3 linked regions of the Drosophila melanogaster genome follow. The protein of the gene in region 2 interacts with the protein of the main gene of each other region in a pairwise test. Each region holds a gene or a part of one and is shown on either strand. Other genes may lie near its edges. The genes, in order: Uqcc1, CG11322 and CG3704.

Region 1 (5,314 bases), on a different chromosome or scaffold from region 2:
CGCCCTTGATGGTGATCTCATTGCTGGTGAGGAAGGTCTCTGTTTCACCGACAGTCCTGGCCAGCACCGAATCGCACGGCTTGTAAAAGTTCTTGCGGAATGGCGTAAGATTCACCTCAGACCAAACGATCTTGGGCAAGTGAGCGCCATGATTGGAAGAGCGCTGGCCCCCGTTCTGACCACCGAATCCATCCTGGTTGCGTGGTCCGCCGGGTCCCATGCTAGGACCACCACCGTTCATGCGTCGCTGTCCACCGTTGGCGGGTCCATGACCATTGAAACCTGGGTATGGGGCCGAGCGATTGCGCTGGAACATGCCCGCTCCGCCGGGTCCGCCACCGGGAGCACCACCGCCCATGCGATTGGGCACCATACCGCCGGCTAGGCCACCAGCTCCTCCGCCGCCACCGCCTCCGAAGGCGTTCATCTGTCCGTTGTACCTGCGACGAGCGTTTTGTGCCATAAAATTAGAATTTTGAGCCCTTTAATGCGTTGCCAAAATGTTGAAATTTACACGAAGCGACCTTTTTTTATGTAATTTTCATTTTTTACTGCCATTTTGAATTTATTGATTTTCGACACTCGGCCCCTGGCCGCATGCTAAACCGAAATTTGGGCTTAAAAAATGTGTGCCTGTGTTTCAATACTCACATGTTCATTGCTGGTGTGATGTAAGTGGAAATATAGCTGGCCAAAGTATAGTTTTTTCGGTCACTTTTACAATTTTTCACTCCACAATTTTTTCAGCTTCTACGTCGTCAATAGAGCTGTGGAAAAAATCGGTGTTAATATCGATTGGTTCGATAGGTTAGGTTTTCTGGAAACATCGATTGAATTTTCTAGAAACGATCACAACGAATAGGGAAAAATGTCAAAATATTTGTTAGTAGGAAACTTTTAATATATAAATAATTATTGTGAACGTTTCTAATAATAACAAATTAAATAAAAATAATAACTGAAAAGAATATGGAACACTATTAAGAGCACTTTAGAGCACTATGGTTGCTAGTTTGTAGTTACTTCGTTGTCTAACCAGTATTTTTTTAATGCGGCACCGGTAATTAACAATAAGAACTATTAATTTTTTAAGCAAAACAAAGACGTCTGATATTGTTTGTCTGGAACCTATCGGGTAAAGCAACTTCGATAATAATGGTCAGCAAGAAAAATGTGACCAGCCTATAGAACGACCCAAAAACCAAAGTGTGGACATAAATTGGAATATTACAGTGATCGCTCAATGTAGTTAACCTGTAAATTTCTATCTGTAAAGTAATAACTAATAAACAAGGTTCTAATAATGCAGTTAAAATATAATTTATTATTATGTAATTTCCCTTCATTTGTTAAGTATCTTAAGCCCGCAATTATGACATACAATACGTGCCAAATGGTTTTCGCTTAATCGTAGCTCTGCTGTACTTCATAAGGTAAATAAACATGGCTCAAGCAAGGGATTCTTAATTATCAAGTTCAAGCTAGTTTAATTCAATTTGGTAGCCATGCGCACCAGTTACAAGAAAAACAGACCTTTCGACTTCAAGCTAATTGATCTGGTGGAACCCAATCCTGTGCTCTATAAGAGATCTGGACTCTCGAACTACGATGCCATGAAGGCGAAAACCGATATCTGGGCTCGCATAGCCGAGATGATGGGCTGTGATGGTAAGTCAGCTAATAAAAGAATAAGATATATATATTTAAAGTTATAATCCTCTTAGTGGACTTCTGCCTGATGCGCTGGAACAATCTGCACTATCAGTTTCGCAAGGAGTTTCGCCGCGCGGACACCAGTGGATCCACCTGGCCGTACCTGGAACGCCTGCGATTTTTGGCCGAGATCCAGCCGCCCTCCAAAGTGAAAACCAAACCCAAAACAAACAAACAGGAGGCGACCATCCAGACGGAAACTCCTGTGCAATTTTTGTGGGACACTTTTGAGGATGGGGATGTTCCACAGCAGTCGAGTACGTTCATAATCGAGGAGGTCATCGAGGAGCCCAGTGAACAGATCATCCAAGAGGAAATCATCTACGAGGAACAAGAGCCCGCTGAAATAATCTCGCCCAGAAGCAGCTTTCTCCAGATGGACCAAATACTGGCCCAACTAAAGGAACCGCAGCGGAGAAGGGCAGAACGAAGGATTACAGCATTTCTGCTCAAGTGCCAGCTGCGTGCCTTGAGTAATCAGTCCGTGGAGGACCTTAGCATCTAGTTTCCAGTTCACATACTCTCAAACTTTATTTTTAAAAAACAGAATATAACTAAGATTAAACCTTGCACTTGTCCAATTCCAACCATGCCACTTTCGGCTTGACAATGAACTGATCGCGCGGCAAACTGTCCAGCATGCTGGCCTGCTGGCGGACGTACTTCACCAGTCGCTCGATCTGCGCGTAATCATCACAGTTCATCTCGAAGAAGCGGCGCCACAAGGCGCAGGCCAAAACCCGATCGTCGGACATGATGCCCTCGTCGTAGGCGATTAGGGCCGCTTGGAACTGCTCGGATAAGGTCTCGATTTGCTGACGGGTGCGTGAAGGATTGTGAGCCTGTTGGGAAACACATATGAAGAGCATAAAGATTATATATATAAAGGTGAACTAAAGTAAAACCTACTCCCAATTTCTTGGCGCGTGTGTTAACATCTCCCCACATCGCCTCCACAATGCAGTTGCGCAGGAAGCGTCCATCCTCGCCCGTTTCGGAGCCCTCGGCCATGGAGCGCATCAGGAGTAGCCAAACATGCAGTTCGGTGACCAAGAACCAGGAGTTAAAGGTATTGGGCAGATTGAAGTCGCGGAAAAAGGTCACATAGTTGATCTTGTCGGCGACGCTTTCGTACAGCAGATGACTGGTTACCTTGAGGCGCTGAAATGGGATCACTTCGATGAATATTAATCAAATGGGCAAAGTAATCCGAGTCCTACCGCCTTTGTGTTCGGTGTGAAGCCCACTTTGTTGAGCACTCTCTTCAGAATACCGCCTTCTGCGGCTTCCGCTGTGCCGGGTTTCGTTTTATTGGTATTATCCACAACGCCGGTGGATGAACACAAGCGGCATGGCTGCTCCAGCAGTCCCAGTATCGCTGGCCTGTGCTTATACGTATGTTGTGTTGCCTATAATATGTTTAATTTAAAAATTTTATATCCGTTTATATAAGAGTTGATGGCGGTGCATTCGGATGACCGTGTTTTGACTAAATAAAGTACAACCCCTGCTTTAAACATACCCATGCGGTTCTCGCTAGGCCGCCGGCCAGTCTTGCAACTGCACGAGTGCACTGCATTCTTAAATGTATCCTAAATTTACTAAAACAAAATCGTTTAAAAAATCCAATTGCACGCGACAACAGACTAAAACAGCTGATCGTAACGGGGCTGCCAACTTGGGTATAACGACATGTTAACAGTGACTTGCTAACATATGATTAACAGTAACAGATACAAATCTTTGTAAAGAAAGAAAAATGTTTTTTTTTTTGCATGTGAAAAGTAATAACTATTACTTTATTTTTTATATACTTTAAACCTTTGCAGTCTTAATTCATAAAATCAAGAAGAGCTTACATTCGGAAGTGGTGTGACCGCATGAAGTTATTATCCGTTCATAACAGTGCAAAACGGTCTTACTATCAACTTCCAGTTGGAAATGTAAATAAATAAATAAATAGAAAATTTAGAGCAAAATAAAAGAAAGTATGATACGTTTGGGGAACCAAATGTGCCGGCAAGTGGCCTTTAATATACAGACTGTATTCCGAAACCCGGGCACCGCGAACAATCCGAGATTAATCACCAGAAAGATGACACAACAGCGACCGCCGGTGAATTGGACAACCAGTATTCCCAATCAGGCGGCGAAGGACAAGGAGAAGATAGCTCCTTTGGGATGGTTCCTCCTGGTGGGTAGACACCAACTCCTCTACCTATACACACAACTAATCCTTGTTGTCCATTAACCAATCCCCAGCTCATACCGGCCACCACTTTTGGCTTGGGCTGCTGGCAAGTGAAGCGCAAGATTTGGAAGGAGCAGTTGATCAAGGATCTCAACAAGCAGCTGAGCACGGCGCCTGTGGCTCTACCAGACGAGTAGGTTTGCCCACATATTCTCCACTATATACCCACCCACTATAGTGTATTCCCTCCTGTAGTCTCACTGACTTGGCCCAAATGGAGTACCGCCTGGTCAAGATCCGTGGACGTTTCCTTCACGACAAGGAGATGCGCCTGGGTCCGAGATCGCTGATACGGCCCGATGGCGTGGAAACCCAAGGAGGACTCTTCTCGCAGCGCGACTCGGGCAATGGCTATCTAATAGTAACCCCTTTTCAGCTGGCAGATAGAGAGTAAGTTGTGCTCAAGGAAATCCCATAGAATCATCTTAATATCGTTTCGCCCCCAGCGACATAGTGCTCGTCAATCGGGGCTGGGTGTCCCGCAAGCAAGTGGAGCCGGAAACCAGGCCGCTGGGCCAACAACAGGCGGAAGTGGAGCTCACCGCCGTCGTGCGCAAAGGAGAGGCGCGTCCGCAGTTCACACCCGACCACAAGGGCAATGTCTATCTCTATCGCGACTTGGCGCGCATGTGCGCCGCCACAGGAGCAGCTCCTGTGTTCCTGGACGCCGTCTACGATCCGCAAACGGCTGCACATGCTCCAATCGGTGGACAGACACGCGTTACCCTGCGCAACGATCATCTGTCGTACCTGGTGACCTGGTTCAGTCTATCGGCGGCCACCTCCTTTTTGTGGTACCGCCAAATAGTCAAGAGGATACCCTTCTGAAAAAGGGAACCCAAATCAAACGCACTGTTGTTATTTTTATTATAAAAATTTACATGCTCTCGTGTAAATGCTGGTTTTTATTGGCCCGCCGCAGGAGGGGATTATTGTCCTGCTGGGACTTAATATTGCAACTACCGATCCTCGAGTGGCGGATCGACAGGGGAATAGGAATAGGAATATGAATACAAATACGGTTCGAGGGTTTCCCTTGCGGGTGTGCCTAGTTGAATACTTTAACTATTTAGAAACACACTCGTTAGTTTGGGTCGATATGGGGAAAGCTACATAATATTATATTGTCTGATCAAAAATAGTTACTACGTTTTATAACTTTGTGGTTAATCAATCATTGCCTTATGTTGTTCAAATAAGTAATTCGCTTTCTAGTTATATACAGAAATGTTTTAAAAGCTTATATCCTTTAGAAACTAATATACAAAATGCAAGAATTCAACTTTACTTTTCACTTAAAACTGACAGAGTCCTCTGATGATTTGAAACGATTCTATTCTCCTAAACATG
Region 2 (5,893 bases):
ACAGAAGCCGGTGGAAAACAATCCGGTCGCGTCCAGCGATTGTTTGTCCAGTTCGCACTGTTTGCTGTGGACGTGGACAGGATGTGACGCCCCTGCCATTCCGTAATTTGGTCTGTGATAAACATGCGCTAAGGTTAATTCAACAAAGGTGAGGTTACGCCGTGTTCTGGGTGGGCGGACATTCACATTGTTTGCACTACGCGCTCCACGTAATGCCGTTTAATGGTTCCATTCGGGCAGCCACGAATCAGAGGCCACACGGATCCGATCCGATCCGATTCGATTCGATTTGATCCCATCGATTGGCCAAGTGATTGATTAATGCCTTCGGTTAACCTGTAATTAACTCAAGCACGCGGGGTCAGTGTCATTTCACCTTGACTTTGCCGGCTAAAATAGCCGAGTTGAAGACATTTTTTAACGAGCCGCATGCCAGCACTTAAATGTTTTAATGGCCGAGAGCAGAATGTGCTAAAATGCCGGCTAGACGAAGAATGTGAAAGTTTTTTAAGACACCTGCATATAAAACATTTCAAAAAATTTCAAAATTTTGAGTAATAGGATTCTCGTTTGCATATACGCTTATCTTATCTTATATTAGGAATATCCTTCCATTTTACCTTATAATATTATTATGAAAACATAAAGATTTTAGATTTTTATTGAAATTATTTAGTCACGCTTGAAAGCCTTTCCTTTATTTTGAAAATAAATATTTAACGAAATAATAAATTTTGCTGGATTCCCAAGTGTATTTGCGATGCTTATAGTTTTCGATAGCTGTCCACGTGTTTGACAAACTTAACTTAACTTAGCAAACCGATGCTCATAAATAATTTTAAAAAAAGTCCATGTGATCTGCATATTTTCACGCCACGCGTACCGAACTCGAAAACTGAAAATCAAAAACTTAAAACCGCGTATGTGAGTGTTGCAGTTCGGGTTTGAGTTCAAAGCCAGAAGCAAAACTTTTAGGACGAGACGATCGTTTATGGATCAATAAATATACAATTTATCCCATTTAATTAGTTGTTATTGGTGTAAAACTGTCCGAATATCAAAACATGTTGTGCCGCGCGCATAAATTCATTTCAATCGCTACGAAAATAGGTTTTTACGATGCCACCACCATCGTCCCATCGCCTTCCCTGTTCTCCACCGAGTAACTTGGCGTATCTGAATCTGAATTTGAATTTGTATCTGAATATCCCCCACTTACTGTATTGCTTTTTTTCGCTCATCTGGTTGTTGTGCTTGTGCCTTTGCTTTTCGTCTCGGGACTTAATTTATGGCTCGCATTTGCCTTTTTGGCAATATCACAAGCGGCCAAGGAGATGAATATAATAATAAGTCTCTGTGGATATACGACTTTCCAGATACTCACAGCATACTCATCAGAATAGCTCAAAAGTATGCAGTCATTTAATAGTTGTGTATTTTATTTAACTGGTAACAGAAAACAAGAGAAACAAAGAAACAATAATTTAACAAGTTAACAAAACTATGGGATTTGAATTAGTATTCTAATGGGATTTTGTGGTTAAGTCACTCCTATCCTATACAAAATATATACTTAAAATTCTATGCCAGCAGCAAAGTCGCTGCATTCTAATCCATTGTGGAGTTCAGTCTCATGAACTCCTCGTTGAGCAACGCCATATTCGTGGAGTGCGTGTTGGCTCCCTGCTCGCCCAGCTGCAAGTACCTGTCCCAAATAAAGCACTTGAACGGTGTCATCGTCGGATCTGACCGGGTCCAATCGTACATCTCTGACTTCCAAACGTTCTTCACGCTCACCTCGAACTGGCAGTAGTAGCAACGTAGGTTCTGCATGCTCAAGTCGGCCACGCCGTAGGAGCATCGGGTGCACATAGTGCAGGTGTACTTGAAGCTATCTATGCAGTTGTCCTCGATGGTGGGTGCCTCCGGCAGGGCCATCTTCGCCTGGTAGGCCCACCTGCGGCAATTGTCGCCGTGACCCAACTCCCGATTGAACACAAATGCCGCCACGTGGCACATCTCGTGCAGCAGGCAGCGGATTAGCTCCGCCGTAGTCTTTATACTCCGCAGAAGTAGAATCTTGGCTCTGCGCTTACCATGGGCATCGACGGTCAGCTGGCATGTGCATCGCGTGTGCATTGCGTGCTTCCAAACAATGGGCACCTGAAGGCCACAGTGGAAGATCGCGTGGTTGAAGATGTTGAACAGCACTTTGGCCAGTGCCACCTTGCAGATTTTGAAATTGTTTTGCCTGTAGGTGAGCGCCAGTGGATGGCACATATTGAGCGAAATCGAAGGGCTGAGCGAACGAACGAATCCGTAGAACTTTGGATGCCGCTCCAGGCATGGCACACTGCTTTTGTGACGTCGGCAGTTGGCGGCCAACTGCTCTTCGTTGGGTAAATCGATAAGATCAATGGGCTCCTTATGCAAGTCCGGGGTGCACTGATCAAAGGAGAATGCAATGGACCAGAGCTCAAAGTCATTTTTGCTTTTAGCCTGGCTCTCCTCAGGGGTCGGTTCATCGATATTCGACAAATTAAGCTTTGACCAAGTGGATGTCATCATTGTTTTCGGACGAATTGGTTGCTCGGCTGATGGAGTAAATGGCTCTGCGGACGCATGGGATGAATTGACGACACAATTGATATTCTCAATATCCTCCGGCTTCATATCGTAAACCACCGCAGGATTGTAGAGCTTGCGGCGTGATGGTATCAGACCCAAAAATTTGTGCATCTTCGTTTTAAGTTGCACATCGTCTTCCAGCTTGACGTTGGGCTGTGGCTCGTTCCTAACGATAATGATTTTATCGCCCAACTCGAGATAGACCAGCGGCGGCCTTTTGCGACCCGTCCACTCGGGCTGCTGATACTCCTCGTCGTCGGCATCATTGGAGTCCTCCTCGCCATCGCCCTCCGACTGAGAGGATGAGTCGGAAAACTGTTGGATGGACATCTCGTCTAGATTTCGGCGGCACTTATTTTTAACACACCCATGGCCTTTGGTCACCGGCAAGTGCCGTTTCACTGGCAACTTCTGTATTTCCATGTCGGTATCCATGGAACTACGACTGCTGTCGTTCATATCATCGAAGAAATCGGAGAGGTATCCTTGATGAATTTCTGGTGCAGCTCCCAAAGTCGGAGGTGTTTGGAGCACGGATTACTTGAAATTAGTTTGATTGCCTGGACTGATGGCTAAGTCATAGGCTACCTGTGCGCCTTTGGTCTGCAGTCCTTGGTTGGGTTGACCACGCTGTCGTCCGGATTTGTATTTGATTGTGCGGACATCTCAAATGCGAAATCGATTCGAAAGTCCTGGAACCGCCCACAGCAAACAACACTTTCCAAACTAACCATCTGCACATTGTTAGGCACAGGCTGAAAAGCTTAAAATAAATTCTAGAAACGATTGGATTGGATTTTCACATATGCCGCCGTTTATTGGATGCACTCTATTACACGTGCGGATATTCGGTCTGTTGTTTTCCATCTCTTAGTAACTAAACAAAATGGGAAAGGTTTCTGGATGGATAAACGATGAGTGGGTGGGTGTACAATGAAGGTGTATACATGCCATGTCTAATGTCTAACGAACTGTCTAGCACTGAAGTTTGATTCGTGAGTGTGGGTGGGGTGGTGGGTGTATAAAAATGTCTATAAAAGTGCCGCCATAAATCAAAGATATTGGTGAAGAATTGCAATAGTCGTCTGCTTCCAAAACATCACTTGTTCAGATTCTGCTCATGCCGATTTCAGTGGTATATGCTTTTTGATTACCTAAAAGTAAGATCGAGATTGAGAGATTGGAACATTTATAAACATTATCGATTCGACCGCCCAAACTGTTTACAATTAAATAATAATAAAACGAATATCAATTAAGAAGCGTGTGAAATACGTCAGACGGCATGCAAATTTAGTTAGCGGCTGAACGATTTTGTTTTCATTTTATTTGGATTTTTCGGTATCGATCCATCGCCAGGAGCGGCCGCTGAATCATTCGGCAAAAACAAATCGCCCCCGGAACGCATGGAACTCGATTTCCGCGATTAAGGCCAATGAAATAAAAGGAAATCAATTAAGCCATCAACTGATGATAGCCAACACCTACCTCGGAGCACATGTTCTTGTAGATCTCATCGGTGTCCCAGGGTCCTCTCTCCGGCAGAGCGATGCCTCGCCTTCGCAGCTCCTGGACGCAGTCCGTCAGATCAAAGATGGGCAGTGGATCGATGCCAGCCTTGGCAACCTTGCCAGCCAAATACTCTACGTAGTGGGTGCTTAAATGATATAGAAGTATATTGGTTGAAAAATATGATTTTTCGGGGATTTCCCGATATTAAACTTACCGACACATGCCAGCGTGCTTGTCAGGAACTTCCGTGTTGCACACTGTGTCGACTAGTCCTTGCGGCGTCTCCTTTTGCAGCGGGATCGGGCAGCGGGCCTGGGCACGAGCCTTGGACGAACTGCTGGACTCGTCCTTGATCTGCATGGGTTCCGTGTCGAATTTGACGTTTTGCTCCTTGAGCAGGAACTGCAACTGAAGGGGGATTTTATCCCTCAGGTAGAACAGGCAGTTGCGCGGATGATGGGCATGGAGACCGAGCTTGGCACAGTATGTGGACACAGTGCACTTGGCACCCATCATGAAGGGTCGGGCACATCCGTAGCAGAACTCGAATTTGCACTGAGTACAGGTAAAATGCATGCATCCGCCTCTGTATAGGTTGAACATTGAACTTGTAAAAGATACAACATACTGATATTTCTGTATCTGAACATACCTGGCCAGCGAGTATCGGAACTTGCACTTGGGACAGTCGATGCCGTTTTGGGCCAAATGCTCCTGGACACCCTGGGCCTGCAGCTCGGGATCGTTTTCGCGCTTCCATTCCAGATAAGCTTCGCAGCTACTGCCCTCGTGCTGGCGCTCCCAGGGCTTTCGGCACTGGGCACAGGTAACGGATCCACAGTCCGGACAAATCAATCGCTTCTGCTTGGGCCGAGCGAAGAATCCGGACGAGCACTGGATGCACCACTTGAAGTTGGGATCCTGCAGCAGCGAGCGATCGCGCAACTTGCGCTGGAACAGTTCGTGCACATCGTTGTCCAGGATGCTCTTCAGGAAGATGTCCAGGTTGGAGAAGTACTCGAGGTGCTCATCCTCATGCTGAGCCTCGTTGCTCAACTCGGGCAGCTTGCAAAACGGGCAACTGCAATCGTTTATACTGCGATCGGTTATCTGCGAAAGGAAGTTTAAGTGATGGAGCAATTGTCAGACTTTTCATTATCCTTTATGACCACTTAAGCCACTCACCTGTACTGTAAAGTAGCTCTTGGCACACTGCTTGCAGCACTTGTGCAGACACTTTAGCATGGACACCATCTGATTCATGGGATAGCTGTTCATGCAGAGCTCGCACTCCTGCTGGAGCATGGCAATGGCCTGGTCCAGATCGGAGCACTCCCTGGCCGCCCACAGAGCCACGTCTTCCGAGAACTTCATGCTCACCAAGGTGGCGGCTATCTGGGCCTCTGCGATATTGGTCACCAGCTCCTGATCGACGTACTTGCGGGCAAGGATCTAAAATGAGAAAGCAAACGTTCCAAGATGATTATAGTACTTGCTTAGCTAAAAACTTGGCTTGTACACACCGCTGGATCCTCGATTACCGGCTCTTGAACACTAGGATATGCCCGAAAAACGGGCATACTCATCTTACGCTTCAGCTGTTCTGCTTTTTGGGGCTCGGCCAAGTTGGGTTCCTCCTGCTCCTCCTCCGTGGCCGAGGTCTCGTAGTCATCGTCAGAGAAGCAGGTCTCGTGGTATTTCTTCTTTGGGATTCGGGGTTGGGATCGAGGTTTCAACAATGCCGCTGCTGCCG
Region 3 (5,626 bases), on a different chromosome or scaffold from region 2:
CCCTGTTTGATGTAATCTCGTTAGCTCAAAACTACCACTGCAACATTTCTGCTGCATTTACTTCCTCGACACACAAAAGAACGAACTATTTCTTAGCCTAAATGTTTTGTTTCATTTAAGTTTACGTCATTTTTAAAACAAATTTTTTTTATTTTTATACATACAAAAAAAAAAAATGAAAAAAGAAACAAATACAACAAAAGAGAAAAGCAAAGCCCACACTGCGTGTTTTCAATTGCTCCTCCTCCTTCTCCTGCAACTTCCCATTGTCCTGGTGATTACCCCAAGGTGATCCATATGGTGATCCGAAGCCTGAATAACTTTTCTCTCTTGCAGGACATCGAGGAACAGGGCGCCGAGGACAACGCCACCCTGCTGACCACCACCAACCTGTCGGACGACGACTAATTGGAGCTCGTTCAGATGATTCCCTGTTCGCCCTCGGTTCCAGCTTTTGATTTCCGGCCTGCTTGAGCGATCCAAAGTCGCTGGCTGGGCCATCGCCCACTTCGCCCATCCGTTTGAGACACACACGATTACCCAGACACCTGGACCTGCTGAGATGGCTCCACGCCAGCTGATCCAGTATGCTAATCCCGATCCCGATCCCCAAATTTCCCCTCCGCTTCTGGCCATGAGGCAGGCGGAAGGCGGAGCAAAGAGTAATCCAAGCACGAAGAAGACTGTTTCTGAAACTACTGTTTAGCTATCCCCAAATTTTTCCAATGCTTGTCTTCACCCCGCACTGTCCCCCCCCTCTTACCAATCACCCATCCTTACAAAACTGTGTGCGTGTGTGTGCTGATAGTGTGTGTGTATGTGTGTGTGTGTGATCCCCAAGATACCCGTTACTTATAAATATGCATAAATGCAAGAGCTAGCTTGATAACTTGACGTGCGAGGGATGTGGTGGTGTCCACGCTGGCCACTGAGCCCCTCCGTGCACCACCAATAGCTGGGCTCTCGGCACGAAGATGTGACAATGTTCGATCTCATCCGAAGTACTTTCCAAACTAACCGAGCTTTTTAAACACAATCCACCTTTTGTGTCTGCTGTTCCTGCTGCTCTGAAACCAATTGGTGGACGCATCGCGGAAAAGGGAGCACCGAGGCACAAAAGCACCGAGGCACAGCCCTCGGAAAACGCACTCAAATCAAATGAAACGTCCAGAGATATGAATATTTTTTTGCAAGCGACTACACCTAATTTGCAGCACAGGCAGGCGGGGATGGGGATGGGGATGCAAGTCCGTCTTGGCCCAAAACGCTTGGCGATTCGATTCGATTCGATTCAGATGGGACAGTTGGGCAGTGAGCAGTAGGGCGGTGAGAAACCGTAGCGGGGGACTACTGTTCGTCTATATAAACTGTGTATAACTGTGAGGCATTGACAAGTATTTGAGATGATCTGTATTTTTGTAAGCGTAATATTTAAAGCGGCAGCCAATAACGAGACAACCAAATCCAGAGAAGCAACTATAAAGCGTAAGATATCGGGCGCAGCAGCCAACACACGCGACACACAATTTATTTGCTCAACGCAGTACACACCACACATGATACATACAGCATAAATGTAAATATATATATATTTATCTGCATACATATATATATATACAGAGTAAGTTACGCAAAGTATGAGGCTTGCATTTACATTTACGAGCGGGATATATCCTCCATATGTATATGTTATCACTAATTTGCAAAGCTAAACTAAGTCCATATATACAAACCAAATATCGGAGGTGCAAGTGACGAACACACACTATATTGAATGTTTTTGCTTGTTAAAGTAAATAATAAAAATGAAAACTCGAAATCACGAAATCCATAGCCATCGAGGATCACAATCCGCCCATTTACGGCTGAGCCTGTTCCTGTTCCTGCTGCAGTTTGTCCCGCTTGCTCTGCTGGGCAGTCAGGTGGTTCTGCACGAAGCTGTGGAAGTTTTGTTCTTCGGCGGTGCCCTTCGCGTCCTCCTCCATCTCCTCCTCGTCTTCGATTTCCGCCGACTCGGGCACCAGACTAGGTGCCATTAGGAAAATGCTGTTTCCAGTGTGCGGCGGTGGGTCCTGAAATAGTTAAGACCCTGCAGTGGGTGCACAAATAGCCGAGGAACTGTTCCTACCTGAAGCGACAATCCCAGGGGAACGGCATGGCCGTCCTCTTCCACATGATCCACTGGCTTTGGACCCGTCGCACTCTCCGCCAGTCGCTCTTGGCGCTTCTTTTCGTAAACAGGCTTGTAGTCCGTCTCGTACTCGTCCACGCTTTCGAGAATCTTCGTCAGTAGCTGGGTGAAGCCTACGCCTGTCTTGGCCGAGACGCCGCACGTTCTTAGATTCTCGTAGAAGGTGTCCAGGGTGAGCGACATGGTGCGCGTGAGGTTGCTCACGAAGCTGTGCTCCTCCTCCTGGGCCTCCTGGAAGGCCTCGAAGTCTGTCATCCAATCCATCACAAATCCGCAGTCCTTTAGGTCGATCTGTTTGAAGCGGAAAAGAAGTTTTCTATACATCTGGATATCTGGGTTGCCGGGAAAGTCGTTACCTTGTTCAGCGCCACAAGGAAGGGCAAACGGGTCTTGTACAGGATGGAGCAGGCGTACAGCATGTTGGACATGAAGGTGGTAGGGCAAGCACTGCGCTCCACATCCATTACATAGACCACAATGGTGGGAAACATGGTGGCCAGTCCCTCGGTTATGATGCTCCCGGAAGCCGACCAGTTAAACACCTCGATCTGTCCGGGCGTGTCGATCACACACCACTTGTGTCCGCGCTCGCCAGCGCGACGCACTAGCTCCGCAAACTGTGCCATTTTGGTGGTGAACATATTGAGCGCGGTCACAATGCCACCGTTGGGACCCAGTTGGTACTGCTTCATCACCTCCCGGTAGTTGACCGTGTCCCGTATGTCCACGTGCGCCGCGTACGGTACTTCCCTGCACGCCGGATCCAGGTTGACCACGTACGGATTGAACTTCTCCTGGGCGTGCTGGATGAGCTTCTGTGTGAACGTGGTCTTCCCGCTGCCGGCCATTCCCAGCACCAGTATGCACACGGGCGACTCCCGGATTCCCTCGCTCAGCGACAGCGCCTCCAGCTTGATGCTCTCCACTCCCTCTGCCATTTCTCTCACGGCTTCACTAAGAATCAAAACAAAAACAGGAGGCGCAAAAACAAGCGTGCAGAGGCAGTGTGACCGTCCTATGGAAAGTGTGCTCTTTGCGCCGCCTGAATTCGCTTCAGATACCAACAAACATCAGCTGTTGTTGCTGCTTTTTATCCTGCGTGGAAACATGTCGGCCATTACATAGTTAACACACTCCCTTAATCGCAGCAGCCTTCGTGGAATCACACATCTTCAGTTTTGCCAGTTCAGTTTTTGCTTGCCCGCCAAAAAAACAAATCAAAAAAAAATACCGAAGAGTTTAGAACATACCGTATATATCGAAAGCCATAATAAGCTTTAAACTAGTTGTACAGTAATAAAAATGCCACCACCAGAAGCCGGCAATTGAAGCGCGTTTATTTGCCGTGCATTAGTTTTATTATTTGGCATTGTTTTACATAATAAAAGTTGTGAAGCAATGGAGACCCGACTGGAAGTGCTCTTGCGGGAGCCGAATCCATTGTTCACCCGTTGGCTGGAGCGCTGGCTGCGCGAAGCGGAGCGCCGAGAACAGAAGTCCCAGTTTAGCCTGCGCCAGGCGTTGGAGTCCCTAAAAAGCTACCCTCTGCCATTGGCCAGCGGACGAGACTGTTCCATTCTGCGCGGCTTTGGGGGCACCCTCTGCCAGCTAATCGACGAGGAACTTCGCCATCACAGAGGCCTCCAATTGCTGCCACAGGAGGCCGTGGTTCAGGAGCGCTACGAGCAGCAGGTCCAGGCGGTAGTACGCAAGGTTCAGGAGAAGCAGCTGGAACACCAGAAACGCCAGAATAAATGCGACAGGCCCAGGAAGCTAACCAAAAAAGATCTGGCGGAGCTGGCAGCCCTTGAAGAGCGGGAGCGCGTCGTGCGAATGAAACCAGGTCAATTCCAGTTACTCCTTTTGGTGGATACTCAGGAAACCAGTGGCAAAAACAAGAGAGTTCTGGACCAGACGAGGAGCTACTTGGAGTCCTTGGGAGCCCGTCATGAAGTGCGTCGCCTGACAATCGGCGATTTCCTTTGGGTGGCCCAGGATCAAGAGGGCAATGAACTGGTTTTACCCTACATTGTGGAGCGCAAGAGGATGGACGACCTGGCATCGAGTATTCGGGATGGTCGCTTCCACGAACAGAAGCACAGGCTGCAGCACTGCGGCCTGCAGCACATCATCTACCTGGTCGAGGACTATGGCGATAACGAGCAGCTGGGCCTTCCACTGGACTCCTTGCAGCAGGCTCTGACTAATGCCAAAGTTCAAACTGGTGTCCGAGTGGTGCGCACGGCGAATCATTACCGATCCATGAGCTATTTGGCCGGAATGAGTCGCACCCTTGGCCAGATATTCGCCGGCAAGAAGTTGCACAGCGTGGATCGCGGCGCCATCGACCAATCCACCTGCCTGCTCACGCATTCCGACCTGGGGTTGCTCAAGTTTCGGGCCCTATATGAGGATTCCGCAAAGAATGCCCAGCTCACAGTGCGCGAGGTTTTCGTGCAACAGTTGCTACAGCTGCATTCCCTTTCCCTCGAACGCGCCATGGCTATTGTGGAAAGATACCCCACTCCACGCTGGCTGCTGGACGCATACGCGGAGTGTGCAGACCAAAAGCAGGCCAGGCTACTCCTCGCCAGCATCCCGTGTGGACCCCTGGAACGTCCACTGGGCGACAAGATCAGCCAGTGCCTACACGAATTCTACAGCACGCACTTTCGTTAGGATTAGCAATTGATTTTATGGGACATATCTAAGGTTATATACACGAGTTTATACATAAGTGAGAGAGAGAATACGTTGGACATTGAATAGTGTGATCTAGTCTAAGCCAAAAAATGTACAAGTCAGCCGCCCTTAGATGTTGCGGAAGTGCCGGATGGCCAGGTCCACCGGCAGGTCGAAGTCAAATCGAGAAAGAGCATCGATGGAGCGCAGTGAGTCGCGGAATCCGGTGCGGGCCACGTAGCTGTCTGCTGAGTAGTACGTGTCCACCAGTTCATGGCAGCTGAGGATCAGGTTCAGCCACTCCACCAGCAAATGGGAACTGTTTGAAGGAAGAGAAAAGCATTTCGAATGAAAGAAGTGTGATAAAAGCCAAGGTAAAGGTCTATCCCCGCGTCCCTGTTAGCCTTATGCTTAAATTAATTCGGCAGACTGCAAAGTCAAAAGCTACCTGCACCTAGCTAAATATATTAATATTTACATATTTATATTTACATGTTAAAGCAAAAAATCGATTAAGCAATTCATTGATAAAAAAGTTTAAGACAGTAGAGAATTGACATTACCGCAGAATTGCTGATAATTGCAGTAAGAATATTTTGATTTTGGACACTTGTAATTATAAAAAGTTTGTGTGTCTCTTGCTCTTTAAGATTCCTCTTTGCCAGGAAAATAACTATAAAATGAAGATTTGAAGATGTAAAAGGCTAGTGCTTCAAACTATGCACCTGTAAATAATATGGTATTGCAAAGTTA

Evidence for each region.
Region 1: the proteins of CG11322 (region 2) and Uqcc1 interact in a two-hybrid assay, tested with the Drosophila melanogaster proteins (one large-scale study listed by BioGRID).
Region 3: the proteins of CG11322 (region 2) and CG3704 interact in a two-hybrid assay, tested with the Drosophila melanogaster proteins (one large-scale study listed by BioGRID).

What each region holds. Positions count from the first base shown.
Region 1 is NT_037436.4:6,954,730-6,960,043, forward strand, and holds Uqcc1 (Ubiquinol-cytochrome c reductase complex assembly factor 1), read right to left. Parts: upstream 3,380-5,314; 5' UTR 3,293-3,379; coding exon 3,236-3,292; intron 3,123-3,235; coding exon 2,934-3,122; intron 2,875-2,933; coding exon 2,623-2,874; exon of another isoform or gene 2,556-2,622; coding exon 2,274-2,555; 3' UTR 2,219-2,273; downstream 1-2,218. Other genes in the region: CG10077 (uncharacterized protein), read right to left, coding at 1-440, 652-659; CG9948 (uncharacterized protein), read left to right, coding at 1,506-1,668, 1,725-2,218; Surf1 (surfeit 1), read left to right, coding at 3,704-3,907, 3,976-4,097, 4,160-4,354, 4,411-4,792. UniProt on the Drosophila melanogaster protein: Required for the assembly of the ubiquinol-cytochrome c reductase complex (mitochondrial respiratory chain complex III or cytochrome b-c1 complex). May be involved in cytochrome b translation and/or stability.
Region 2 is NT_033779.5:6,756,444-6,762,336, forward strand, and holds CG11322 (uncharacterized protein), read right to left. Parts: upstream 3,186-5,893; 5' UTR 3,052-3,185; coding exon 1,609-3,051; 3' UTR 1,421-1,608; downstream 1-1,420. Other genes in the region: LUBEL (linear ubiquitin E3 ligase), read right to left, coding at 3,747-3,782, 4,117-4,285, 4,355-4,726, 4,793-5,250, 5,326-5,592, 5,664-5,893.
Region 3 is NC_004354.4:937,605-943,230, forward strand, and holds CG3704 (uncharacterized protein), read right to left. Parts: upstream 3,202-5,626; 5' UTR 3,130-3,201; coding exon 2,548-3,129; intron 2,483-2,547; coding exon 2,129-2,482; intron 2,073-2,128; coding exon 1,860-2,072; 3' UTR 1,566-1,859; downstream 1-1,565. Other genes in the region: CG32815 (uncharacterized protein), read left to right, coding at 337-408; mus81, read left to right, coding at 3,590-4,870; CG3703 (uncharacterized protein), read right to left, coding at 5,003-5,192.